Linked DNA regions of Oryctolagus cuniculus. The protein of the gene in region 5 interacts with the protein of the main gene of each other region in a pairwise test. Links are inferred from orthologs where the notes say so. Each region holds a gene or a part of one and is shown on either strand. Other genes may lie near its edges.

Region 1 (4,121 bases), on a different chromosome or scaffold from region 5:
GCAGAGTTAGAGGGAATTACATCAGATTGTGCATTCCCCAAATATCAACAACGGGTCCTGGCTCTGGCCAGGATTCTGGAGTTTATCTGGGTCTCCCTTGAGGGTGCAGGGTCCAAGTACTTGGGCCATCTGCTGCTTTCCCCAGATGATTAGCAGGGAGCTATATCAGAAGTGGAGCAGCCAGGACTCAAACCAGAGCCCATATGGGATCCGGGGATGCAGATAAAGAGGCTAAACCTGCGGCTCTGCAACCCCGGTCTCTCCATGCAAAGATTTTACATTTTGTTGTCTTCCTATATAATTTTTCTTAGCTAATTTAAACTATTTTAGGAGGATTAAAAAAAACCACACTAAACACTTTCCTATGATAATAAAAGCTTCAAAAACATTTTTGGATGGCTACACGGTGTTTCATAATGGAATCAAATAATTAGCCATAGCTTTAATGGTCCGCGTTTATTTCCAGTATTTCAAATTTATACAAGATGGTTTAAACATTTGTCATTTTTAGAGCATAAATCTTTGTAAAAATCCTCGGTAGACGTCAAATAGCTACCCACCGAAGTTTTTGCCATTTGCACTTCTAAGGCTTCTGCTTTAGATTGTTCAAGCCATCACCACGGACAGGCTGCGAAGAATGCTGGGGGCAGGTGAGGGATAGAGACGTGTGGAGGCCCCTGGAGCAGCAGCTGCTGGCAGAGCAAGAGCCTGGAAGCCTGTGAAATGCAGACGCCCGGGACTCAACGCAGACCCACCAAATTCGAATCTGCACTTTAACAAGCGTCCCTAAAGCGCCGGCAGCACTGATGGCCGCACGTTGGAATCACCTGGGGAGCCCTCAGATGCCCACTGCCCGGGTCGGAACCTCTGCCCGAGGAGCAAACAATTCCTCTCCAAGAGATCCTACGTGGGGCCGATTTTGAGAGCCAGAGCGCGGGGGCGCGGATAGGAAACGAACTACGAGGAGGGCAAAGTTGGTTCGTTGGGCTCAGGTAATGAGGAACGGGAATTGGAGGAAGCGTCCCAAACAGAAACCCACGCGGCCCTTTCGGATAGTGTACCTAGCTCCTAGGTAACACGATTTCAAAGAAAGGCGTGGGAACGCCTGGAGGGCTTTCTCCTGAGCGCCGGCGCACGCGCTCCAGCAGAGGGAAGACTGCGGCTTACCTAGCTTAGGGCCGCGGTCCCCGCCCCTCCCGCCCCGCCCCTCTCCCCCTTCTCCGCCTCTCCCCTCCCGCGCGGCGGCCGGTGTGGGCCGTGGGCGCAGGCGCACTGCCGCCACGCTCGGGGTCAGCCTCCGGTGACGTCAGGACGCCTCACGGGTTCCAGCGCCGCCCCCCCCCCCGCCTGCCCCCGATTGCCGCGCGGGCCGGACAGGGGCGGGGCGTAGGGCCAGCTGAGCTATCCCGTCAGACCGCGCCAGTTTGAATGAAAGCTCCACAAGATGGCGGCGGCCGGGGCTGAGGCGCAAGGAGGTGAGGCTGGAGCGTTGCCCCCTCTTCCCTCTCCGTTCCCAGGCACGCTTCTGAGGCCTGGGAAGCGGGGCCGTCCCGCGGCCCAGCCAGGCGGCGACGTGGCGGGACTCCGCCTGCCGCCTCGCTGACACGCCGACCCCAGGATGCGCTCTGCGGGCGCCTGCCCCCTCCTCCTGGCCGCTGACCCTCCTGAGGGCCTGGCCCGCTCCTCTCGCGTTCTCCCTGCCCTCGCTGTGCGCTGGAGGTGGGCGCCCGCGCGAACCGCGGCCGCGCCGGGCTGTGTGGAGCGTCGCTTCCCGCCGCGCGCTCGGCCCGGCCCGGCCCCTCTGGGCTGCCCGCGGCTGCATCGGGCGTCGCGGTAACTTCGCTGTGGGCTCCCGGCTCGAGGGTTCGTGGGCACGGCTGCGATGACTCCTTTGTGGTCTTGTGAGCCGGCCTTGTGGTGTTCGCTTGGGCGTTTGGGAAGCGGGAGAGAGAGAACCCGCAGGTGTAAACGAGACCCTGGTATCACAACAGCGAGGGAGAGGAATTGGGGTTGAAGTGGGGTCAGAAAGGGAGCGAGTGAGGCGCAGCCGAGAGCGGACACGTAAGAAGGTCTAATTGCTCCTCAGTGAGATCTCGCAGAGACTAGGTGTGTGAAGATGCAGCCTCTGGCTGGCGCTAACTTTTCTTCCCCCTCCCCCCGGGAACTTGGCGTTATTTATATGGACCTCGAAGACTCACACTGAGCACGCGCGCGCGCGTTTGTGCGCGTGTTCGTTTGTGTGCGCGCGCTTTGAAAGCCTGGAATTTTCAAATGCATTCTGGAATTTATAGGTTCTTTCCTGCTCTGCTCTGCTCCACATAGATTATCTCCTCACTATCCCAGAACTTTTCTTCCTTTAAGAATGGCGATGGATAGCGTGAGCTACTGGAAGGTTTTGATAGTGGTGTTGAAATAGTTAATATTGTCGATGTACTTTTTCTCTGTTACTATAGGCTGTCGGATTTTTTTTTTAACCAAGTGTTTTTAGCTTTTTTATATTCTAGTTTGTTTCTTCTCCATCGGTGGTGGTGTTTTAGATCCTCAACTAGATAAGAATGGTTCGGAACAGCCCACCACACATACCTTAGGTAGATAGATATCCAGGAGGCACCTCCTTGGCACCGGATCAGCTAATGAGGTTCACTTTGCACAGAACAACCTCAAGGTTTTTGGATGGAAGGAACTTAAAGGAATTAGTATTTTTCTACCCTCTACCACCACTCCCGGTCAACTTTTTCCCCAGCCTCAGTTTTCTGGGAGAAGTACGTTTTCCTTCCTTGATTTAGAACTAGGAGTCCTTGGCAGGGGGGCAGTGGTGGAAATTGTGCTTAAGGGTTTCTGACATTGAAGACCCTGTGTGAGTTGGGGGTGAGGGGATGAGGAAAGAATGTAGTAAAGTTAAAGCAGCTGTACTCTCACTTCCTGCAAATTTCCTCAAAACACAAAAGGTTATGGCCACTACCTTGGAGAGCTACCACATATGGCTTGAGTTTACTGATTCTATTTGGCAACCCAGTTTTTTTCAGTGAATCTGATCCCAGAAAGATTGCAAACCATGTAAGCTAGAGCAGACGATTCTTGATCCATCTAGTGCTTACAATGACACTAGCCATAAAAGCAAGTTTATTACATTTTTCTAAACATCACTTTGTGTTGATTTGTATTGTAAATTCAGCACGACAGCCTGACTACAGGAATTTGGAAGTAAAATCTTATGCAACATAAATAGTTTCCTGGCTTCTCTAAGGTAGATTAAATCCAATTTTCTTCAAATTGGGTATGTGGATTCTGTAAATTGAACACTGTATAACTCCTGGCTTTAAAAACAATACAGGAAATTAGTATTACCAAAAAAGTCAATATACACTGAATTTTTAGAATTATAGCACTTGGGTTGATAATACATTACAGCGTGGGCAAAATATTAAGTGGAGTTAAATTTCATGCAGGATTTCAAAGTGGAAAAATTAGGGCAAATAATGCCTTTGTAATTTAGAACTATGTTTTAACTAGGTCTCTGTTCTAATTATCCAGTTAAAAGAAATGAAAAAAGTTACTTTTTAAGAAATTAAAGATTGTGTTTTAAAATATATTATAGATGTACTTCTAAACAATAAGAATGCCCTGGAGATCTACATTGTATGACAATAATTGTATTCTATGTAGAATAAAATGGAAAAGTAAAAAACATCACCTCTGTTGACCTTGGCATCTGTATGTTATCTTAAGAAAAAGTTATAGGCATGGGATGTTTTGTTCAAGTGACTTAGTAGAAATTAATGTCAATTGAACATAGCAGGATAAAAATTCATGAGAAAAGTCCAAGACCAATTATCAAAAATAGTTCTTTAATACTTCATCTTGAAGACACATCATTGTTTTCTTGTCATATGAATTTTTAGTTGTGTAAAATTTCCAGTTGAAGGGTGGGGATATAGAAGTTTTAAGATTATCTTTTTTTTTTTTGTTCTAATTGAATAGCTGTTTCATTAGTAAAGAATTCTATTTTCTTATTGTAGCTTGGTGTGTGCCTTGCCTAGTTTCACTTGATACTCTTCAGGAATTATGTAGAAAAGAAAAACTCACATGTAAATCGATTGGAATCACCAAAAGGAATCTAA
Region 2 (3,500 bases), on a different chromosome or scaffold from region 5:
CCCCAAGCATTGTGTGGTGTCCCCGAGGCCAGAGCTGACCCAGGCCGGGTCGCAGGAAGCTAGCTAACCCTGTCACCCTGCTAAGGGCAGCCATCCCCTTCTCCCTGTCCCGGGCATGGTGGCCTGGAGCCTGGACAGGACCTGGGGCTCCGTGCAGCACCTCAGGGGCCACCACTGTGCTCCCAGCCCAGGGCTGGGTTCCAGGCTGTCCTGCAGGTGGGCCGGCCAGCAGTGGGGCGGGAGCGGGTCCCACCCGGGCATCTGCACCTCCTGATGGCAGCGCCTGGCTGGACCTGCCTAGAGGGCAGCTGAGCCTGCTGGAGAGGCCCTGGGTGGAGCCTGGCACCGCCACAGGTCTGAAGGGGGGGGGGGGCGCTGAGGAGACCCTGCGCTGGGCGCCAGTCGCTCCCTGCCAGAGGCCCAGGCCCCTCTGGACCTCGGGGTGGGCAGGTGCCAGTCTGCAGGTGTGCAGTGGCCTCTGCCCCCACCCTGGCGGGGCCGGGGGTCTCAGGTCCCACGTTGCTTTGGCTGAACTTAAGACGAGGGCTGTAGCCCAGGCACGGCGAGCACTGTGGGTCCCCATGGGCCTGCCTGGCCGGACGCAGAGGCAGAGGTGTCCCTCGGCCTGCTCCTGGCCCCCGTGGAGGGGTCTGTGTGCTGAGGGCAGCCCCCTCACCGACACTGGGGGTGGGGGCCCTGTGTGTGCCGTGTGGCGCAGGACCGAGATGGATTTCTGGGGCGCGCGCGGGTGCTCATCAGTCTCCCCGCTCGCTCAGCGTCCTGGGGAGCGGCAGCTGGTGGGATGGCAGGCACTCCATCAGGGGCCGACAGCTCCAGACTGGCGTGCAGGCGGGTGGGCACGGCGCCGGGCGGCCCGGGACGGGGGGGCTGTGCAGCCCCCAGAGCCCGCTCCGCTCGCCCCCTGGAGCCCCTGCCTGCCCCCACCTGCCCAGAGGGGGTGCCTGTGGTGGGCTGGAGCCTCTTCCCTGAGGGTCGCCCTTTGCTCCTGCCAGAGGCCCCGGTGGCCCCAGCCTGGCGGGGCGGGGTGGGGGCTGCCTCCAGGCTCTCCCAGGGGGGTCCTGGGTGGGGAGGGCGGCTGGCCCCAGGACCCTGCATACAACCCCTCCCAGCTGTGGGGGGCACCCTCATGAGGGGGCAGAACCTTGTCCTTCCCCCAAAGCAGCCCCCGCCGCACCTGAGCGACCGCCCCCTGCATTGTGGGGTGGGGCCTGTTAGCTGGCCTGCCCCCCTGGGCATCGGGGTGTGGCCTTACTCCACTGCTCTGGTCCTGCTGGTGGGCTGGCTGGAATCAGGCCCACCCCAGTCCAGGCACAGTAAGCACCCAGGGGTGCTTGGGGGGGCCTCTTAGAGCCCTGGGCTGTGAGGGGGGTGGCTGGGGTGCAGGTCCCAGCCCAGCCCGGGGCTTCCGGGTCCCATCTGCAAGTGTGTCCAGGACCAGGGTGCAGAGTGGCAGCTGCCGGGCACCTGGGGAGGGAGGGCCACTGCCCTGAGTGCCTTGCCCAGGGGACGCCTGCCGACCCGTGTCCTCTGAGCTCCTCTGGGGGTGGCCTGTCCCTGTGTCGTCCCCAGCTCTCAGCCCACAGTGAAGCAGCTGCCTAATTAGCAACTTCCCTGTCGTTCAGACTCTGTGCTCGGCAAAATGTAAATGAGGCGTTTTCTCGGGTGTCAGTGTGAAAAATGGCGCAGCGCGGCTCCACGGAGCATCTGCCGTGTCCCCGAGCGCCGCGGTACTGGGGGAGTCGGCCCCCGCGCCTGGACCAGGGGCTGTCCCAGGGTGGGCGGCAGCTCTGCCCTCGGCCCCAGGACTGTGCTGCTGGCCCTTCCTTGCCAGTGCCAGGCTCTGTCCTCTTGGCTGGAGGCCGGCTCAGGCCAGCAGCCACACCCTGGAGCCTGGGTGCCCGGCCAGTGCCTGAGCTGGGCACCAGCTGACCTACTGCCTCCCCCTCCAGGAAGGCCAGGTAGGTGGGCCCAGGCCTCCTCCCCGTGTCCCAGGTGTGCAGGTGGGCCTGGCCCCTTTCCGGCGCAGCGAGCCTGCCTTCCCGTCCCCCACCCTCTGCCTGGCGTAGCTGGCCAGCGACCTGGACAGGGGCCCTCACCGCCTGTGTCCTCACAGGGGAGTACATCAAGACCTGGCGGCCACGCTACTTCCTCCTCAAGACTGATGGCACCTTCATCGGCTACAAGGAGCGGCCACAGGACGTGGAGCAGCGCGAGTCCCCACTCAACAACTTCTCTGTGGCACGTAAGTGTCCCCTCGGCCACTCCGGGTTGGACGTGGGGCGGTGCCTGGAGTGGTCCGTGCCCTGTGGGACTGGGGGCCAGCCCTGGCTGGCGGGGGCCTGGGCCAAGCTGCATGGCTGTCCTGTGGAGCTGTTCCCTGAGCCTCCTGCCCAGAGGGGACAGCTCGGGCTATAGGGAGCCTCCAGGCTCTCCCAGGGGGGTCCTGGGTGGGGAGGGCTGCTGGCCCTAGGACCCTGCATACAACCCCTCCCAGCTGTGGGGGGCACCCTCAAAGCTGGCCAGTGCCACTTTTTCCCCTGCCTGGCTCCCCAGTTGTCCCTCCCACGATGCTGGCTGGGGCCGGGCAGGTCCACTGCCACTTTCTACCACCTGGCAGCCCAGCTCTGCCCTGGGGCTGGCCTGGGGCAGCTGGGGGCGATGGGCCTGCCAGCCGTGGGCCTCTGGGTTCTGCCCCTCCCTCTCCTTGGCCAGCACCCTGGGGTCCTCTGGCCCCTGGCCTTCAAGGGCCACCCAGGTTCTGGTTTGGGGGCTGCAGGGAGGTCTGGCACAGGTGGCTCGACCTGGGCGTCGCCCTGCCTGTGGGCATCTGCGTGGGGATGGGCTGCGGCACTGGCTGCTGGGTCATCCCTCCCGGGGCCCACTCTGTGCTAGAGGAGGGGCCTGGCCGTGGGGATTCCCGTGAGCCCCAAATGCCACCCTCCCCGGCCTCAGGCCCAGCTTCCTGGGCCGGAGGCCACCAAGGAGGCGCAGGCCAGTTCCCTGGAAGCCTTGCTATGCCCGCTGTGGGGGTGAGGCAGGAGGGGCCTCTGCAGAGGAGCCCATGGGGGCAGCGCCAGCCGGGGGCAGGGGGCGCTGCCTGGCCAGGGCGAGAGCCAGCGTGTGTGTGCGGAGGGCCTGTGTCCAGGGGCTCTGCCTTGTGGGAGGACCGAGTGAGCTTCCTGCCCGCACAGACACAGGCCGCCTCCCACCAGGCTGGGCCCCGGGCCCCCACGCAGCCCCTCGCCCGGCAGACCTGGCCCTCGTGGTTGCCAGGGTGCTGGTGCTGGAATGCACACGCTCCCCGGCTGTGGGCGTGCGTGCTACAGGCACACGTGTGGCAGGCGTGCGTGTTCCAGGGGCGTGTACTGTAGGTGTGCGTGTTCCAGGCGCGTGTACTGTAGATGTGCATGTTCTAGGCGTGTGTACTGTAGGTGTGCGTGTTCCAGGGGCGTGTACTGTAGGTGTGCGTGTTCCAGGCG
Region 3 (3,500 bases), on a different chromosome or scaffold from region 5:
ACGTCACATAAAGTTATGTAGTCACTTCATTTTAAACACACTTCTGATTTTCTTCTCCCTCATAAATAAGAGTATTAGACCTGGACAGTGAGTCTACCATCTCGTAGCTCTATTGCCGTGGGAAGACCCTTTCTCCCTAAGCCCATTCCTTCATCTATGAAACAGAGGTAAAACACTTAACTCAGGGGTGATTGTGAAGTTGAGAGCCTGCCCTGTCTGCCAAGAGCAGGTGGTCAGCAGATGCTGGCTGCCATTTATTATTCTAGCAACACAAACTGTCTTCTGTTTTGCATATCTGCCACACAGTTACTCCACTGACCAAGCCCTGAAGACCAACAACTGCTTCCTACATTTTTAAAAAGTTGCTTTAGTTGCCAAAAAAAACCCAAAAAACAAAACAAACAAACAAACAAAAAAACCAGAATCTGACCTACAGAAGAGGAACATTCTCTGGGTAGCAATCATGCAGTCAAATTAGTTTCCTCAGGTGTAACCCAGTCGTGGCTCCCCTAACTCAAGGGAGGAAGGAATATTAGAAGAAAATAAAAAGATACTTGTCTTTCCTAACTGTCTACTCTGCTGTGTGCCTCAACGTCATGGAGCCTTGAGCCAAAGCTGCAGGAGGCTGGCTCCATGCTCTCTTGCAAAGTCCTTGGTCTACCTCAGGCCTCAGTGTCCTCCACGAGTGCTTGGCCAGGCAAGATCAACTTTTTGTGAACGAGCTTCCTGGGATACCCTAACTTAGAACTGACACATGTCAAAGGGCTGCTTGGCTACGTGGCCCAGGAGGGGAGCTCCAAGTTCTAGTCTCATTCTTACTCTGGTTTGCCTCATGATTTTGACCATGTCACTTCCCTTCTCTAAGCCTCAGTTTTCTCATCTACACAACAAAGGACCAGACCACATGATCTCTATGGTCCCTCCCAGCTTAGGCCCTCTACATGTCTGTGTTGAGCTTCCTGGAAAAGAAATCTTAGTCTGGTATCCAAACACCTTAACGGTAAAAAAAAAAAAAAAAAAAGAGTCACATATGAATGTGAATCAGCAACAGCAATGCCCTCTACCCTGTCTACAAGCAATGCAGAGAAAAATGCCATGTGTGTGACTTTCACATGAACACACACGAAGAGCTTGGAAAACCTTTCCCTTTTGGAGGCTTAGCACAGCTGTAGGTTTGCTGTGAGTTCCTGGCAGGCCTGTCCCTCCGCTGGATCACGTCTCCTCGTAAGGCACTGGGAAGTATCTGTACTGTGACTCCAGGCAGTTTGGAGAGTGGAGATGGATGAGAGGTGTTGAAACAGGATGGGCAAAGAGGATGCCAGGCCGCTCCTGGGGTTCAAGAGCAAATACAAACTCTCAAAGCTTTCCCTGGGACATCACCAACAGCCCCAGAGGCCAGTGGCGACCATGCAAGCTGAAAACTACACAAAGCCTTATTTTTAAAAGTAGTCCTACAAAGGGTAAGGCTGGCTCCTGGGATTCAGTGACCGCTCTTGCAGCCCCCAGGGGTCCTCTGCCCCCTTGTTCCACAGTACCATAATCTTACAGAAAAGAGGCAACTGTTCAAAACTGTACCTGTACAGTGATGCCACCACACTGAGTGGGGAATCTATTTATAATTTATATATATATGTGCATATTTATATATCTTTCAAAAGTCTTCCAGAAAGAACAATCGAAAGCTATTGGGAGAAGAAAACAAAAAGATGATGTAAAACTTTCTCAGCTATCACTCCACTAGGAGTCTCTGTTCCTGGGATGTAAAACTCTGAGATAAAAGCGCCACCTTTTGAAATAACACAGCTGACCCACACAGATACACACAACAAGATGGCACGCTGACTGGCAAGGCAGCCCTTCCACTGGCGCACGTTCCTGAGTTCACAGAGGTGCTGTGGAAAAAAGAGAAGTGCTGGAGAACAAATGTGGAGGCGAGCGATCCGAGGGACCCACGGCCTGGTCCCAGCCTTGCTCAGAAGTTTTGCTGCCGCCTCTTCTTAGCCTCAATGGCATCCAGGATTGGCTGCCGCTTGGACTGGTACTTCTGTCGGATCTCTTCGATCTCCTGCTCCATCATGGGGTCCAGGGCCAAGAGCCTCTTCTGAAGGTCCTCCACTGTCCAACTCTTAAGCTACAAGAGAAGTGGAAAATCTGGTCACAACAAAGCCAGGCCAGCAGCAGGCTGGCAGAGAAGCCCCGCCTTCCCAGTGTCCAGAGTGAAAGGAGACAAGAGGGGGACACTGTGAGTGTGAGGTCATGGGGGTTGGACAGGGACAATTCAGCCCAATGAATGGCATATCATGAAGTTGTTCTGGGACAGTAGGTCCCTGTGAGAAAACTATGTACTGACCTCTGAATGTGCCCTGCCCATGAACCTAGTGAATAATACTTTCACTTCCTCTATCTTTTAAATAATACTTGTTAGGACATTAAAATAACAGTAACTTGCTGAATGCAACAGTGGTTGCCTCCTAATTCTTGTCCTTTCTATGAAGGACCTGTCTACACAGTGTCTGTCCCTCTTTCTGGTCCTCTGGGTGAGAGACACATCTAGACAGTGCCCTTTCCTGTTTCTGAACGCACAATGCTGAGCACTTCATGCTGACTGAGGATGGACACTCCCCACCCCTCAGTGTCTGGCACTGCTATCCTAGCATCGCTAACGCTGGGGGCTGCCCACAGTCCAAGCACCAGTCTAAGGACTTTACATGATCACTACATACGCCTCTTGGGAATATACACACAAACCTTGTTGTTGGGGTGTGGAAGAGAGGTGGCTGGAGAAGGCCTGAAGCTTCTTAGATTAAGTTGCTATCATTCACAAGAAAAAGGACTTGCTCTACAAATGAATAATAATAGCTAGCACTTACATAGTGTTTTCCATATGCCAGACACTAAGTGCCTTACATAAACTGATTCACATAACACTTGTAACGACTCTCCTATATGAGTACGTTATCATCTGTACACACGAGCCAAGGAGGAGGATGGCTCAGTAAGCTGCCAGTGTCTCCTACCTAGTAAGAGGCAGAGCCAAGATTCAAACCCAGGCAGTGTGGCTGCAGAGCCCACATTTTTAACCAGTCTTGTAGAGAACAGACCAGCAAAACACAGTCTTAGAACGGACTCACCCTATGATTAAAACATGGCTCTGCCCCCCTGAGGCTCTCCAGGCCCTCTGCATCTACAGAAATGAGACAGTGATGTCTGGTAAGAATTAAATGAGGGCTGATGCTGTGGTGCAGTGGGTTAAAGTCCCGGCCTGTAGTGCTGGCATCTCATGTGGGTGCCGGTCCACATCCTGGCTACTTCATTTCTGATCTAGCTCTCTACTATGGCCTGGGAAAGTAGCAGAGGATGGCCCAAGTCCTTGAGCCCCTGCACTCACATGGGAGACCTGGAGGAAGCTCCTGGCTCTTGGTTTTGTATCGGCTCAGCTCCAGCCATTCCGGCCATTTGGGGAGTGAACCAGAGGATGAAAGACCTCTCTCTCTGTCTTG
Region 4 (4,267 bases), on a different chromosome or scaffold from region 5:
CAAGCACTTGGGTCATCTCCTGCTGCTTTCCCAGGTGCGTTAGCAGGGAGGAGGATTGGAAGTGGAATAGCTTGGGCTCAAACTGGCGCCCATTTGGGATGCTGATGTTGATGTCCAGGGGAGGCTTAACCTGCTATGCCATAACGCTAGCACCAGAATGGGCTCATTTCAAAGGCTCTTTCCAGTTTTAACGTCTTAGTGATTTAGTGTATTGTTGTTCTTCTTCTTGTTATTTCTGAGCAGACTGTGGATCTTTAATAAATGCAAAAATGCATAAAATGTTTAATCTCTCTTCACAGAATTTGACTTTGTTTCAATAATACAAGATCTTTGTGAATGTAAAATAACAAAATTAGGGGAGCATATAATGGTTTAAAAACAAATCCGACCAGCCTAGCCCCAGCTGTTGTAGGCATTTGGGGAATGAACCAGGGACGGGCGCTTTCTATCTCTGTCTCTCAAAAAAAAAAAAAACAAAAAAAAAAAGTAAGCTTATTACAATGAAACTTAAAATAATGCAAAAAGAAGACTAAGCTTGTCTAGACTGCTAATAGACAAGATCAATTTAGGTTAATATTCATATTATTCAACACTTTTTTCATTGTTCTAACCACCAAAAAAGCCCCGTACAACTGTACATCTTGGCGACTTCTAACGAAAACTAGCAAATTCGTAATGTCGTGGCTGTATGTGCTCATTAGAAAAATCATATGCACGAATTTAATCAACACACACAATATGGATGAATGAGGGCGTCAAATTACAATAGGGTGAGCTCTGCTGGGAGCAGGTTTGGGGGAAAGGCCAGAAGAAGGAAAGCCACTTTCTTTTCTAGGCACCAGAAGTTGTGATAAGCTTGCCAGCTTATCCATCCGGCCAGAGAGCAATACCCCGGTGCACCGAACCTTGGTGCCGGGAGAGCTCTCACTACAGCAATTATTTTCTCTGTAATTAGACGTAATTATTGTGAAATGTAGCGAGGCGCACAGTCAAAATCAAACCAGAATTTCCAGAAGTATCCTTAGTACTGAAGCTACAAATGTCAAATGGCTGGGAAAAAACATAACCAGTAATTATAAACAAAACTAGAGAAGGAAGCGTGGGCAGTTAGTAATACTTCAAAGGCCTTTGGGATGCACCCTTGGGAATCCAGAGAAATGAGTCCAATCAGATGCGGGCAAGTGCAGAAAAGGCAGGAGGGGTGCAGCTCTGGCCCCGCTCAAAGGGACGCGCCCCGCACCTGCCTAGGCCGGCTCCGGGATCCCGCGAAGGCCTCATCCGGGTGCTCGCCCACTACCACCTCCGTCTTTCCCTCTCCGAGGCAACGGCCCGCCCCTTCCTCCGCCCTCGTCTCCACCTCCTCCCCACCTCCAAGGCGCCTGGCTCCGCCCACCCACCCTGAGCTGAGCCGCGGCCGGCCACGCCCACCCAGCGCAGGGCCAGGCTCCGCCCACCCCCGCCTGGCCGCGGCCGGCTCCGCCCACCCAGGGCGCTGGGCTCTACCCGCCGTCTCAGGGCCGCTGCCGGCGGCCGAGGGGCGGGGCGGGCCGGGAGGAGCCGCGCTCCGGAGCGGGAGGGAGATCCGCCGTGGAGTTACGGGAAAGTTGGTCCGAGTTCCCGGAGTTTTTCTCTGTGGTTCCCTGGGGCTCGGTCTGCCGGCACCCCGGCTCCATTCCTGCCTCTGGCCTTCGCGGTCCATCGGGTCCCTGTTTCTGCCCCCGGCCGCCATGGAGCAGCCGCCGGCGCCCAAGAGGTAACGAGCACTAGGAGCGGGCAGCCCGAGGGGAGCGGCGGCCGCAGGGCGGAGGCGGCTAGGCCGGGCTCTACCGCGACCCTCTCTCCGCCTTGCCGGGACCCGAGCCTGGCGCGCCGAGGGTCGGGAGGCAGGTCCGAGTGCCCGGCGCCATCTGTCCGCGGGGCGACTGGGCCTGAGGGGAGTGGGAGCCCGCCCCGGGCCGGCAGGGCCTGGCGCGCGTGGGGAGTTGGGTGGGCAGCGCCAGGCTCCCCCGGGCCTGACCTCCGGGGCCGGGCAGGGTTTTCCCCTCGTGGCGAGTTCACGCAGCCTGGAAGCCCTAAAACTAGGAAATTATGTACAATTATTTACAACCACGTAGGCTCTCTTGTCAAAGTATTTTTCATAATATTGTCCCCCCCCCATCCTTTTTGGGAAAAGGCGGGTTGTTTATTTACAGTTAAGGAATTAAATATTAATAGCCACAGAGTTTGTAAAACTTACTGTGAGTATGCCGCACTGACAGGTGTTCCTCCTCCTCCCCCTCAAGTTCAGAAGTATTTGTGGAGGCAAGACAGTAGAAATCTTAGAACCCTCCTCCATCGACTTTTGCATGTATAAATAGTGATGCTTTGGTATGGTATTCATCGTTATTTGCTCTTTGATAGATTAGCAATGTATGTGTACAGAGTAGATGTGTTAAGTATTTGCAGTGATCTTAGGAAGCTAAATCAAGGTTATTCATTGATGCAGGTTCATAATGTGCGTTTTCACCTTAAGAGCGAATCAGCTTATTGACGTTGGATAACACATTTAACCTCAGTCTTGTTTTTTTTTTTTTTTTTTAATTTATAAAAAATAAGGGCACTTCTCTCTCTCCTGGGGAGAGCTGTTGTGTCGATTAAAGAGTTCATGTGCTTTGATGCCTAGAGATCTTTAGATGAAAGGTGGAATAATTAAAAAGGTGGGAGCTTTGGGAGCTGTTGAGAGTTGTGAGACTAGAGACCTGTGTGGCCTGGAAACCATCTGTGCAGGGGGTGGGGATGGGGATGGGTGTGTCCTAGAGGGATTTTTCAAAAGGGCTATCAGCTAGGAGAGCCCAAGGTAACGGATAAATTATTTTCTAGAATTTTCTAGGGTGTCTGTATTCTAGTACTCACTGGGCACTCCCTTTGCTACTACAGAGAGAATTGGGCCCTTTTTCTTTCCTGTGTTGGGAGGACTGTAAGTGGGACACCTCTGAGATCATGCCAGAGGCCAACTTGAAAGAGTTTGAATGGAAGCATCGGCTCTGTCTGTTGATTATTTCTGCTGTCAGTTCTGCCGGTTGCATTATAGGTGTAAGAGAATCTGTGGCCTTGCAGAGACACTAGACAATCTGGAAGAGTCTGGGGGAGGTGTGGGTGGTGGTGCCATGGTGATTTATACTTTTCAAAGTGGTGGTTGCACATTAGCAGACTTATTTTTAGCTCTTTTCAGAGAGACTTATTTTGATACAGGAAGGCATTTCTGAAGAGCAAAAGATGCGTGAAATGAATCCTTTATATTTAAATATCTCAAGATTTTTTCATGGCGTTTTCCTATCCATAATATTTAATCCTCACACCAACCCTGTGGAGAATTTGGATTAGAGGCATTAATCCTGGTTTATAGATGAGGACATTGAGAGAGTTTCCACAGGGGAAGAAGGCTATGCAGGAATTACAGTGTATATTTGTGTTACTCCCTTGATCATTGCCTTCTAGTAATAAAATATAGCTACTATTTTTGAGATCATAATATTCACTAGGAAATTTATACAGTCAAGCATTGCTTAATGACAAGGATAGTTCTGAGATATGTGTCACCAGGCAATTACACAGTCATGCGAACACCATACAGTATACTTAATTAAACTGAGACAGCTGTGATGGATGATATATGGCTAGGTGATGTCATCTTTTGGGACCATCTTCATATGTGATCTGTCATAGACATGAGGTTCATGACTATATATACGTTCTTTTATTTAGTGATTGTTAGAAATAGTAATCCTGGCTCCATTTCTTAGTATATTAGTATGTTCTTTTTTATTTTTATTTTTTGAAAAATTTTTTTTATTTGACAGAGTTAGAGAGAGACAGAGAAAGGTCTTCCTTCTGTTGGTTCACTCTCTAAATGGCCGCTACGGCCAACGCTGTGCTGATCCGAAGCCAGGAGCCAGGTGCTTCCGCCTTGTCTCCCAGGCGGGTGCGGGCACCAGTGCCCTCCCTGGCCACAGCAGAGAGCTGGCCTGGAAGAGGAACAGCCGGGACTAGAACCCAGCGCTCATATGGGATGCCGGTGCCACAGGCGGAGGATTAGCCAAGTGAGCCATGGCACCGGCCTCTTTTTTATTTTTTAAAGATTTATTTTTATTTATTTGAAAGACAAAGTTACAGAGAGAAAGGAAGATACAGAGAGATCTTCCATCTGCTGGTTCACTCTCCAAATGGCCACAATGGCTGGGACTAAGCCAGGCAGAAACCAGGAGGCAAGATCTTCTTCCGGGTCTCC
Region 5 (3,500 bases):
GCTTGGGCCCCTGCACTGTGTGGCAGACCTGCAAGAAGCTCCTGGTTCCTGGCTTTGGAGCGGCACAGCTCTGGCCATTTCGGCTATCTGGGGAGTGAACTGGTTGGATGGAAGACCTTTCTGTCTGTCTCTACCTCTCTAACTCTGCCTATGAAATAAAATCTTTAAAAGTTTTTTTTTTTTTAACAGTGACGAGTGGCCGGCGCCATGGCAGTGCCGGCACACCGGGTTCTAGTCCCGGTCAGGGTGCCGGATTCTGTCCCGGTTGCCCCTCTTCCAGGCCTGCTCTCTGCCGTGGCCAGGGAGTGCAGTGGAGGACGGCCCAAGTGCTTGGGCCCTGCACCCCATGGGAAACCAGGAGAAGCACCTGGCTCCTGCCTTCGGATCAGCGTGGTGAGCCGGCTGCGGCAGCCACTGGAGGGTGAACCAACTGTCCACTCTGCCTGTCAAAAAAAAACAGTGACAAGTTCAGGATTTAAAGTGGAGCAGCCAGGACTCAAACCTGCACCCATATGGATGCTGGTGCTGCAGGTGGAGGCTTAACCTACTTTGCCACTGCGCCAGCCAGGATGGCTGATTCTGGGCATCTGTGTACATCAGGAAGTCAATTTCCAAGAGCATTTTTCAGAGAAGCCATGTATTCAAGGGTCCTGTGTCCATGGTGCTCATCTTTTTGACTTTTTTTTTTTTTTTTGTAGGAGTGATTTATTTGAAAGTCAGAGAAGGAGAGGCACAGAGAGCGAGCTCTTCCGTCCGCTGGTTCATTCCCCAGCTGGCCACAGTAGCTGGAGCCGCGCCAGTCCGGAGCCGGGAGCCTCTTATGGGTCTCCCCACATGGGTACAGGGGCCCAAGGACCTGGGCCATCTTCACCGCCTTCCCAGGCCATAGCAGAGAGCTGGATTGGAAGTGGGGCAGCCGAGACTCGAACTGGCACCCATATGGGATGCCGGCACTGCAGGTGGCAGCTTTACCCACTACGCCGCAGCACCAGCCCGTTTGACTTTTATTTAAGAAACAGAGATCCCTCATCTGTTGATTTCACTCCCCACTCTATGGACCAGGCTGAAGTCAGGAGACAAGAACTCAAAGCAGGTCTCCCACATGGGTGTCAGGGAGCCAAGTATTTGAGCCATCACTTGCGGCCTCCCAGAGTCTGCATTAGCAAGAATCTGAAATCGGGAACAGAGCCTGGATTTGCATCCAGGCACTCGGGTGGGGGCAGTTGGCATGTTAGCCCCTAGACCAAACACCTGCCCCTGGCCTGTTTGTTTAGGACGAGCACGTGGAGTGGGAGAAGCCTGATCTTTCTCAGGCTGAGGTTGAGCAGAAGATCAAGGAGTACAACGGCCAGATCAACAGCAACCTCTTCATGAGCCTGGTGAGTGCAGTGCTCTGGCGGGGGTCTGCGGAGGGGCAGCCGTGGTAGGCTCAGACAGCCACTTTGGCAACACCCAGCCTAGCCCTAGGGTGTTCCGTGTCTCCCGGCAGCTAGGTCATGGTTGAGTTTGTTTCTCTCTAGAACAAGGATGGCTCCTACACCGGCTTCATCAAGGTCCAGCTGAAACTGGCCCGGCCCGTGTCCGTGCCCTCCAGCAAGAAGCCCCCGTCCTTGCAGGATGCTCGCCGGGGCCCAGCACGGGGCACAGCCGTGAAGCGCCACACCTCCTTCTACCTGCCCAAGGACGCCGTCAAGCACCTACACGTGCTGTCTCACACCCGGGCCCGGGAGGTCATCGAGGCCCTGCTCCGCAAGTTCCTGGTGGTGGACGACCCCCGCAAGTTCGCCCTCTTTGAGCGAGCCGAGCGTCATGGCCAAGGTGTGTTTCCCCCCGACACACACCCCGTGAGGATGCTTCAGGAGGTCTGTGGAAAAGGGAATTAGAAGCTTGGCTTATGTTGGTACACAAGAGATTTGAAGTCCAGGTATAGTTTAGAAAAAGCGAATTTATCGAGGCATTAGTGATTAGAAACAGTGGAAAACGAATCCCTCTAGGCTTAAAAGAGGGCTTTTTTTTTTTTTTTTTTACAGAGTGGATGATAGAAAGGTCTTCCTTTGCTGTTGGTTCACCCTCCAATGGCCGCTGCGGCTGGCGCACCACACTGATCCGATGACAGGAGCCAGGTGCTTCTCCTGGTCTCCCATGCGGGTGCAGGGCCCAAGCACTTGGGTCATCCTCCATTGCACTCCCTGGCCAGAGCAGAGAGCAGGCCTGGAAGAGGGGCAACTGGGACAGAATCCGGCACCCTGACCGGGACTAGAACCCGGTGTGCCGGCGCCGCAGGCGGAGGATTAGCCTAGTGAGCTGTGGCGCCGGCCCTAAAAGAGGGCTTCTTGAGGCACCACTCTATGTATTTTTTTTTTAAAATTGATTATTTGAGAGGCAGAGTGAAGAGTTCACACCCCAGTTGGCCAGCTGTTGTGGCCAATCTGAAGCCAGGAACTTCTTCCAGGTCTCCCACATGGGTGCCGGGGCCCAAGGACTTGGGCCATCTTCCACTGCTTTCCCAGGCCACAGCAGAGAGCTGGAGTGGAAGGGAGCAGCTGGGACTTGAACTGGTGCCCATATGGGATGCCAGCACTGCAGGCAGCAGCTTTACCTGCTACGCCACAGCACCGGCCCCCACATTGTGTATTTTCAAAAGGTAACTCAGGGCTGGCGCAGTGGGTTAACGCCCTGGCCTGCTCCGCTTCTGATCCAGCTCTCTGCTATGGCCTGGGAAAGCAGCAGAAGGTGGCCCAAGTCCTCAGGCCCCTGCATCCGTGTGGGAGACCTGGAAGCAGCTCATGGCTTCGGTTTGGCATAGCTCCGGCTGTTGCGGCCATCTGGGGAGTAAGCCAGCGGCTGGAAGACTTTGTTGTAAAAAAACAAAAAACAAACAAACAAACAAAAACCACTTTTTTTATTTGATTTGATTTAAAGATTTATTGGAAAGTTACACAAAGAGGAGGAGAGGCAGAGAGAGTCTTCATCCACTGGTTCACTCCCCAGTTGGCCAGATCTGTGCCGAACCGAAGCCGGGAGTTTCTCTTCTGCTTTCCCAGGCCACAGCAGAGAGCTGGATTGGAAGTGGAGCAGCTGGACTTGAACCGGCACCCATGTGGGATGCCCCAGCACCAGTCCCAATGAAGCAGTCTTTTCATGAGCTTTTTAAAGACCTCTAGGCTGTGCCTGCCCCTGTGCCTGCCCCTGTGCCTGCGGGAGTGGAGGCAGCAGGACCTCTGATCTCACACCTCTTTCCCCCGGCCTGGGCTGCAGTCTACTTCCGGAAGCTGGCGGATGACGAACAGCCCCTGCAGCTTCGGCTCCTGGCAGGACCGAATGAGAAGGACTTGAGCTTCATCCTGAAGGAAAATGACTCCGGGGAGGTGAACGTGAGTACCCAGTCCTGCTCAGTTTCCTGCTTTTAATGAACAGAGACAAGCCCTGTACAGCCTCCCCAGGGCAACGAAAGGAAGGGCTTCCAGGCCTGTCAGGCCAAGGTCTAGGGCAAGCCCAAG
Region 6 (3,500 bases), on a different chromosome or scaffold from region 5:
GCCCGGCAAAGAGCAAGCAGAACTCACCTTGTCTGGAATCAGCATCGCTGTTGGTGGATTTTCAGCTGTGGAGGCAGAGTGGATGTGTGTGTTCCGCATAGTCGTGTGAGGCAGCGTTACTGACTAGTTTTACAATTAGAGCCATTCCTGTCTATAATGAGCAATTATTTGAGAGTCTGCAGCCTGCAGTGGATTTACCCATGGACACACAATTCTAGGAAGTTTTCATATCCCTGAAGTCCATAGTAGAACCTAAAATTAATAACCTTTTAATTAGAAAAATCCTCAATTAAGGCTGTTTCATCTAGAAGCAATAAAATTGGAAATAGATATTATCAACATCCTAATTGAATTTCTGAACCACTCACTAATTTGCCTGCATGATAATAACCCAGATTTTTTTATTGTGGTAAAATACACATATCTATCATAAAATTACCATTTTAGCCATTTTTGAACATTCACATGTAGTGCTGCGATCACCACTATTTTCTAAGTGTTGTCATCATCCCAGAGACTCTATACCCATTTAGTTACTTCTTCTCCCTCCCCCAGCCTCATGGAACCTCCATTCTACTTTCTGTCTATGCATTTGACAATTTTAGGTACCTCCTTTAAGTGGAGTCATACAGTATTTGTCCTTTTGTGACGGCTCGTTTCACTTCAAGTCTCATCTGTGTTGTGTGGCATGTATCAGAACTTGCTTTTCAAGGCTGAATTTTGGTCCACTGTGTGTTTAGAACGTGGTTGTTTATCCATTCATCCATCATTAGACATCAAGGTTGTTTCCACCTCGTGGCTGTTGTGCTCCTGTTTTCACTTCCTTTGCTTTCACTTCCTTTGGATATATCCCCAGATATACCTTAAAGCATATGGTTGTTCTATATTTTGCTTTTTGAGAAACCAAGTTTATAGTGCACCTGCAGTACACATGAGTTCCAATTTACCCATATCCTTTTTTTTAAGATTTATTTTATTTTTTATTTGAAAGAGTTACACAGAAAGAGGAGAGGCAGAGAGAGAGAGGTCTTCCATCCACTGGTTCACTCCCCCATTGGCTGCAACGGCCAGAGCTGCGCCTTACCCGTATCCTTGATAACAAAAGTTATTATTATCCTTGATAATTTTTATTATTTTCCTGGGTTTTTTTTTTCTTTTTAGCCGTCCTAAGTGAGTGAGGTAGTATCATAGTGTGATTTTCATTTATATTTACCTAACAATTAATAGTATTGAGTGTTTTCATGTACTGGCCATTTGTGTATCTCCTTTGGAGGAATAGCTATTCAAGTCCATTGCCCTTTTTTAATCAGGTTGAATTTTTTTGTTATGGAATTGTAGGTGTTCTTTATATATTCTGAATGATTCTAATATATGTTTTGTACACATATGCTCTTGTTTCATTGGTTGGTTACCTTTTCCACTGGTTGATAATGTTCTTTGATGAACAAAAGCTTTGAATATTTTCTTATTGTCTGTTGTTTTTGGTGTCATCTAAGAAGTCATTCCCAGATCAGTTACCAGGCAGCATTTACCTTTATGATTTCCTCTGAGTCTTGTAGTTTTAGCTCTATTAAAACAACTACCTAGGTTCGAACCAGTCCTCCCACCCACCTACCCAGCTACTTCCAGGCCTTACCTGCTGTCCCGACACCCCAACTAGAATTGAGTTACACTGGCCTTGTTTCACCCTGATTCTAAGAATAGGCAATCAAGACTCTTGTTTTTTTCATCATAGTGGACACATCTGTGATGAATGAATTCACCAAGCAGCCAGATGGCTGGTTTATGCAGATGGGCATCACGAACATGAACCAGGGCAATAACCATCAGACCCTCAGTCAGCTTTCCTCTATTAGGTTACTTTTTTTAAAACAAAACCCCAGTTGGCCATCTTTTGGCCATAATAAATATTGAACGTGTGTCACAGTGGTTCAACAGAAACCCATTGCCATAGCTAAAGAAATGACTCGCAGAGGATCAGTCTCTTCATTTTTCTGGAAGACAGAATTGTGTTGCTAAGCAGTAGAGCATCCTTTAGTGTGTGTTTGGTTGCGTGGTCCCTTGATGCTGACTGGGAGGGACCTACTAAATAAAACCCCACCAGGGGCAGGTATTGTGGCCCAGGGGCTTCTGCCCACATCCCACATCAAAGTGCCTGGTTTGCATCACAGTTACTCCGCTTCTGATCCAGCTTCCTGCTGATGCACCTGAGAGGCAACAGATGATGGCCCTGCCACCTGGATGGGAGACCTGGATGGAGTTCCTTGCTTCTCCTGACTTCTGCCTGGCCCAGCCTCAGCTGGCACAGGCATTTGGGAGTGAACCAGAGGATAGATGATCTCTCTCCTCTCCCTGTCACTCTGCCTTTCAAATAAATAAAATCTTCTAAAAAGATGTCCACTCCGTTGTCAGCTGCTGCCTCTGTGTCTGTTCGAACTGCCTCGTACACTGAGGTGCAAGCCGTCAGGTCATCCCAGGCTGTGGCGTGGCAGCCCTGGCCGCCTGGCGCTGACATGGGACGGGAAGCTGACTTGTGTTCTGCCCTCTCTCCAGGTGATCAACTGGGAGAACACGCTCCACATTCCCGCCCAGGTCAAGCTGAGCCCCGAGGCCAGGGACCTCATCACCAAGCTGTGCTGCTCGGCAGACTGCCGGCTGGGGAGGGACGGGGCCGATGACCTGAAGGCCCACCCCTTCTTCAGCGCCATCGACTTCTCCAGCGACATCCGGAAGCAGCCGGCCCCCTACGTGCCCACCATCAGCCACCCCATGGACACCTCAAATTTTGACCCCGTAGATGAAGAAAGCCCGTGGAACGAGGCCAGCGAAGGGAGTGCCAAGGCCTGGGACACGCTCGCCTCCCCCGGCAACAAGCACCCAGAGCACGCCTTCTATGAGTTCACTTTCCGGAGGTTCTTTGATGACAATGGCTACCCCTTTAGGTGCCCCAAGCCCTCAGGAGCAGAAGCTTCGCAGTCTGAGAACTCAGATTTGGAAAACTCCGATCTGGTGGATCCGACCGAGGGCTGCCAGCCGGTCTATGTGTAGCCGTGCACCGGGGCCCTCAGGGCGCTCCGCCGCTGGGGGGAGCAGCCCAGGTGGGCTACTTCTCTCGAGACTGTTCTTCACCGTGACCGCCCCACGCGGAAGCTGAAGGGACTCCACGTCCAGCCGAGCTGCCTCTCTCGGTCCTGCTTGACAGGCAGGGTGGGTCGACGTGACTTTGAGTTGGCTTTTGAGGACCTACACTGCATCAAAACAATATTTTTAAACATTTAGTACAGTTTAGAAAGAGCACTTATTTTGTTTATATCCATTTTTTCTTACTAAATTATAGGGATTAACTTTGACAAATCATGCTGCTGTTATTTTCTACATTTGTATTTTATCCGTAGCACTTATTCACATTTAAGAAAAGACATGAAAACTGAAAAACATGTGAGAAGAAATGTCTGTGCAATAATGTAAAAAAGTTAACAAGACAACACTCTTCCCAGATG
Region 7 (3,500 bases), on a different chromosome or scaffold from region 5:
GGGGATCAGTGTCGCATTCATTGGCCCGCCTCATGGCCTCATCAGCAGGCCATGACTCAGGGAGGAGAGCCCCTGGGACCGCCCAGTGCCCACCCCGTCCCCGCCCCTGCCCCAGAGAGACTTGGCTCCCGCTAACCCTGGCTGTGTGACCGTGGGCTGACAGCACCTGCCTCAGCCTCATCCAGTCCTCGGGGGAAGGGGGGACGGGGGGAGGCGGGGCAGGGGGTGGGCACAGCGTCTCCCTTGGTCAGGGCTGAGTATGGCGCGCCCACCCCGCAGACGTGAAGCCGTCCAACGTCCTCATCAACAAAGAGGGCCACGTAAAGATGTGTGACTTCGGCATCAGCGGCTACCTGGTGGACTCCGTGGCCAAGACCATGGATGCCGGTTGCAAACCCTACATGGCTGTGAGTGCCCTCAGGGAGCCAGGGGCCTGGGGGCGGGGCCTTCCATGGATGTGTATCTCCGCACCCGGAATGGTCCCTGGGCATCAGCGGGGTGGGGGTGGGGGTCTCCCCTGGGCAGATGCGTGCGGTTTCTGCGGGGCCCAGCTCCGTAACCCCCATGTCAGGAAGGTGAGGGGCCGTGAGGTCAGGACTGGGCCTGGCCGTTGTGGGCCTGTTTCCCCCTTTTTGTGGGTGTCGGGTGGTGAGGCAGGGCACAGCCTGGAGGGGGCGCTTACACCTTGCCCTGTCCCCCCTGCAGCCTGAGAGGATCAACCCGGAGCTGAACCAGAAGGGCTACAACGTCAAGTCCGACGTCTGGAGTCTCGGCATCACCATGGTAACGCGTGTGTGTGCGTGGGGGGCGGGGCTGGCTGGGGTGGGGGTGGAGCTTCAGACCTGGGGCGGAGACGCACCTTGCGGAGTTCCCACCTGTTAGGGGCCACCACATGCCACCGCATCCCTTCCTGTAGTGGGTGTTCTCTCTGCTCATGAGGAAGCCCAGCCAGCGTCAAATCCAGCGAGCCCCAGGCAGGCCAGTCATCCGCACGCAAAATCAGTCCTGGCCGGTGGGCTGGAGACACCCCCGGCTTGAACGACAGGGAGGCTGGGCTGGGGTGGACGCACCCGCGGCCCTGGTGCAGGGATGGGCCCTCGCCCCATACCTGTCAGAGCTCAGGGAGGGGTGGGGTCAGGTGTGTTTAATTGTGTCTGGCTCCTATTCCGGCCTCTGTTATAGAAAGCCCAGTGGGGGTGGGAGGGAGGGGATGATGGGCTGGGCACGTGAGGGGTCTAGGAGCCGGCCCCACCCCTCCACGAAGCCCAGCGGGAGGTGTCCTGGAATCCAAGGCTTCCCTGTTCACCCTGGGCCAGGGAAATCCTTGCCTGCCTGCCCTGGGCCCTGTGGCAGTGGGTGAGGGGCACGTGTGTGTGTGTGTGTGTGTGTGTGTCTGTCTGTCCTGGGCGATCCCCTGGGACTGACATCAACGACCTGGAGTTGGTGCAGACTCCACGGAGCTAACGGCTCAGTCCCACGAGACTGACTCCAGCCGCTTCTTCCTCCGGGGCTGCCAACGGAGCAGCTAGGACTCGGGGGCTCCCAGGCCCGCCCCTGGCTTGAGAACCTGCCACCAGCTGGGGTGACGGCTGGCCTGGGCTGGGCTCTCTGGTGTAGTTTAGTTCTTTGCCTCATGGGTTACGAAAGTAATAGAACCTGATTTAAATACAGAGAATAGTAGGTGCCCCCCTACTTTTTGAGCTCTTTAGAAGGAATTCCCAGAAAAGCATTTCTGCCTTTCTAAGTATCACCCCCCACCCCTACTGGGCCCTTGGTACAGATTGGAATCAGGGAAAAGAGGATACTGTGTGGCCACGCCCCTACCCACCACAGTGCAACTCCGCCCCTCCGTGGGCGTGGCCACGTCTGGGCTGCTCCGTGCTGGCCAACAGCGGGCCGGCCTTTCGTGTTAGCCTGGATCGTCTCCGCTCCTCAACATGGCCTGCTGGCCGGGCCATGCATTGGACCCACGGATTCTGCGCTGTTGCAGGCAGGGGGCCTGGGCTGGCTCTAACAGCCAAAACCCGAACCCAGGGTTCCCTGTAAGCCAGCCTGGCCCTTCCACAAAAGTCCTGCCGCCAACAGGGGTTGGGGGCCCAGCAGGTGGAAGGAACGGTCAACCCAGCGTCGCTCAAGAGGAGGCAGACTCTGGGGGAGGCTGGGCCAGCCCCAGGAGGTTGGAGTGACCACCAAGAGGGATGGGCTCCCTGGAGGCGGTGCCTGGCAAAGCGCCCCTATCGGGTCAGGTTCCCCCTGCAGCCAGAGGCCCGGTGTGAGAGCCACCTGTGACCTGCTGCCTTCCAGGGGCAGGGCCCAAGGCTGCCAGCTCCTCCCACAGTTCCAGCGCGGCTGGGCCCCGGATTAGGTACAGTCTTTCTGAACGCAGGCCGTTAGCAAAGCTGGTGCCTGCCACACCAGTCCCCAGGCTGCCGCGTTGCACTGGGACAGGCAGCGTTGCAGCCCCTCGGCCTGCCCTGGCTCCCGGCACCGGGCCGGGCCGGGCTGGACAGATCCTGCCGACCCCTTGGCTTCTGGCGCAGGGTGCGGGTGCGTCCTGCTGACTCCCGCGTCCCCACTGCAGATCGAGATGGCCATCCTGCGATTCCCTTACGAGTCCTGGGGCACCCCATTCCAGCAGCTGAAGCAGGTGGTGGAGGAGCCGTCCCCCCAGCTCCCGGCCGACCGCTTCTCCCCCGAGTTTGTGGACTTCACCGCGCAGTGGTGAGTCTGGCCCTGCTGAACCCCTGAGCGCCCCTCAGTAGACAAACCCCAGATCTCCCCCCTGGCCCTCAAAACACGCACAGCCTCAGCCTGGCCTCAGCCTCTTTCTTCTCCCACAGCCTGAGAAAGAACCCCGCCGAACGCATGAGCTACCTGGAGTTGATGGTAAGTGCAGGCAGGTGGGCTGGGGGGGCAGTGTCCTGGGGAGGCCGCACCCCTCCACGTGCAGACAGGCAGCTCCCGTGTTTACTCATTTTGGAGTACTCGGTCATCCCTGGCTCCCTCCACCACACCAGGCCCTGTGGGACAGGGGGATAAGCAGTGGCATCAGGGAAGGCTGCATGGAGGAGGTGGCCTTTGAGACTGGGAGGAGGGGGCGTTCCAAGCAGAGGGTGCAGCGTGTCAGGGGGAAGAAGGCGTTTGGTTCTTGTGGCCAGACGGCTGTGGAGGAGCCATGAAACCTATCTCTGGCAGTCATGGAGGGCTTCCCTGGGCAGGGGTGGCGGTGGTCCCAGCAGGGAAGTTAGGAGTTTGTCTGCAGGAAGAACCCACGTGGTGACATTGCCTCCTGCTGTCACTTGCAGGAGCACCCTTTCTTCACCTTGCACAAAACCAAGAAGCCAGACATCGCTGCCTTCGTGCAGGAGATCCTGGGAGAGGACTCATAGGGGCCAAGCTGGGGCCCCGCCCACAGCCATAAGCTACTGCCCTCCTGGCCCTGGGCATCCAGGACGAAGCCAGGGGCTGCTCCTGCCTGGCTGTGTGAGGAACTGTCGGTC

The links.
Region 1: the proteins of RASSF1 (region 5) and SUV39H2 interact in a two-hybrid assay, tested with the Homo sapiens proteins (2 studies listed by BioGRID and IntAct). The link is inferred for Oryctolagus cuniculus from reciprocal best matches to the Homo sapiens genes RASSF1 and SUV39H2.
Region 2: the proteins of RASSF1 (region 5) and AKT1 interact in a protein complementation assay, tested with the Homo sapiens proteins (2 studies listed by BioGRID and IntAct, with this or other methods). The link is inferred for Oryctolagus cuniculus from reciprocal best matches to the Homo sapiens genes RASSF1 and AKT1.
Region 3: the proteins of RASSF1 (region 5) and STK4 interact in binary tests that used the Homo sapiens proteins (3 or more experiments, as listed by UniProt). The link is inferred for Oryctolagus cuniculus from reciprocal best matches to the Homo sapiens genes RASSF1 and STK4.
Region 4: the proteins of RASSF1 (region 5) and STK3 interact in binary tests that used the Homo sapiens proteins (3 or more experiments, as listed by UniProt). The link is inferred for Oryctolagus cuniculus from reciprocal best matches to the Homo sapiens genes RASSF1 and STK3.
Region 6: the proteins of RASSF1 (region 5) and LATS2 come close enough for resonance energy transfer, tested with the Homo sapiens proteins (2 studies listed by BioGRID). The link is inferred for Oryctolagus cuniculus from reciprocal best matches to the Homo sapiens genes RASSF1 and LATS2.
Region 7: the proteins of RASSF1 (region 5) and MAP2K3 come close enough for resonance energy transfer, tested with the Homo sapiens proteins (2 studies listed by BioGRID). The link is inferred for Oryctolagus cuniculus from reciprocal best matches to the Homo sapiens genes RASSF1 and MAP2K3.

Annotation. Positions count from the first base shown.
Region 1 is NC_091444.1:41,036,862-41,040,982, reverse strand, and holds the start of SUV39H2 (histone-lysine N-methyltransferase SUV39H2), read left to right. Parts: upstream 1-1,321; 5' UTR 1,322-1,444; coding exon 1,445-1,475; intron 1,476-1,561; exon of another isoform or gene 1,562-2,106; intron 2,107-2,180; exon of another isoform or gene 2,181-2,762; intron 2,763-3,175; exon of another isoform or gene 3,176-3,247; intron 3,248-4,019; coding exon 4,020-4,121. UniProt on the Homo sapiens protein: Histone methyltransferase that specifically trimethylates 'Lys-9' of histone H3 using monomethylated H3 'Lys-9' as substrate.
Region 2 is NC_091451.1:46,976,398-46,979,897, reverse strand, and holds part of AKT1 (RAC-alpha serine/threonine-protein kinase), read left to right. Parts: intron 1-2,134; coding exon 2,135-2,263; intron 2,264-3,500. UniProt on the Homo sapiens protein: AKT1 is one of 3 closely related serine/threonine-protein kinases (AKT1, AKT2 and AKT3) called the AKT kinase, and which regulate many processes including metabolism, proliferation, cell survival, growth and angiogenesis.
Region 3 is NC_091442.1:14,101,282-14,104,781, forward strand, and holds part of STK4 (serine/threonine-protein kinase 4), read right to left. Parts: intron 2,132-3,500; coding exon 1,973-2,131; 3' UTR 1-1,972. UniProt on the Homo sapiens protein: Stress-activated, pro-apoptotic kinase which, following caspase-cleavage, enters the nucleus and induces chromatin condensation followed by internucleosomal DNA fragmentation.
Region 4 is NC_091437.1:124,350,155-124,354,421, reverse strand, and holds the start of STK3 (serine/threonine-protein kinase 3), read left to right. Parts: upstream 1-1,467; 5' UTR 1,468-1,727; coding exon 1,728-1,753; intron 1,754-4,267. UniProt on the Homo sapiens protein: Stress-activated, pro-apoptotic kinase which, following caspase-cleavage, enters the nucleus and induces chromatin condensation followed by internucleosomal DNA fragmentation.
Region 5 is NC_091441.1:98,984,783-98,988,282, forward strand, and holds part of RASSF1 (ras association domain-containing protein 1), read left to right. Parts: intron 1-189; exon of another isoform or gene 190-207; coding exon of another isoform or gene 208-393; intron 394-1,274; coding exon 1,275-1,379; intron 1,380-1,520; coding exon 1,521-1,818; intron 1,819-3,258; coding exon 3,259-3,374; intron 3,375-3,500. UniProt on the Homo sapiens protein: Potential tumor suppressor. Required for death receptor-dependent apoptosis. Mediates activation of STK3/MST2 and STK4/MST1 during Fas-induced apoptosis by preventing their dephosphorylation.
Region 6 is NC_091440.1:91,902,692-91,906,191, reverse strand, and holds part of LATS2 (serine/threonine-protein kinase LATS2), read left to right. Parts: intron 1-2,553; coding exon 2,554-3,048; 3' UTR 3,049-3,500. UniProt on the Homo sapiens protein: Negative regulator of YAP1 in the Hippo signaling pathway that plays a pivotal role in organ size control and tumor suppression by restricting proliferation and promoting apoptosis.
Region 7 is NC_091448.1:65,853,500-65,856,999, reverse strand, and holds part of MAP2K3 (dual specificity mitogen-activated protein kinase kinase 3), read left to right. Parts: intron 1-279; coding exon 280-407; intron 408-705; coding exon 706-783; intron 784-2,581; coding exon 2,582-2,721; intron 2,722-2,840; coding exon 2,841-2,886; intron 2,887-3,305; coding exon 3,306-3,389; 3' UTR 3,390-3,500. UniProt on the Homo sapiens protein: Dual specificity kinase. Is activated by cytokines and environmental stress in vivo. Catalyzes the concomitant phosphorylation of a threonine and a tyrosine residue in the MAP kinase p38.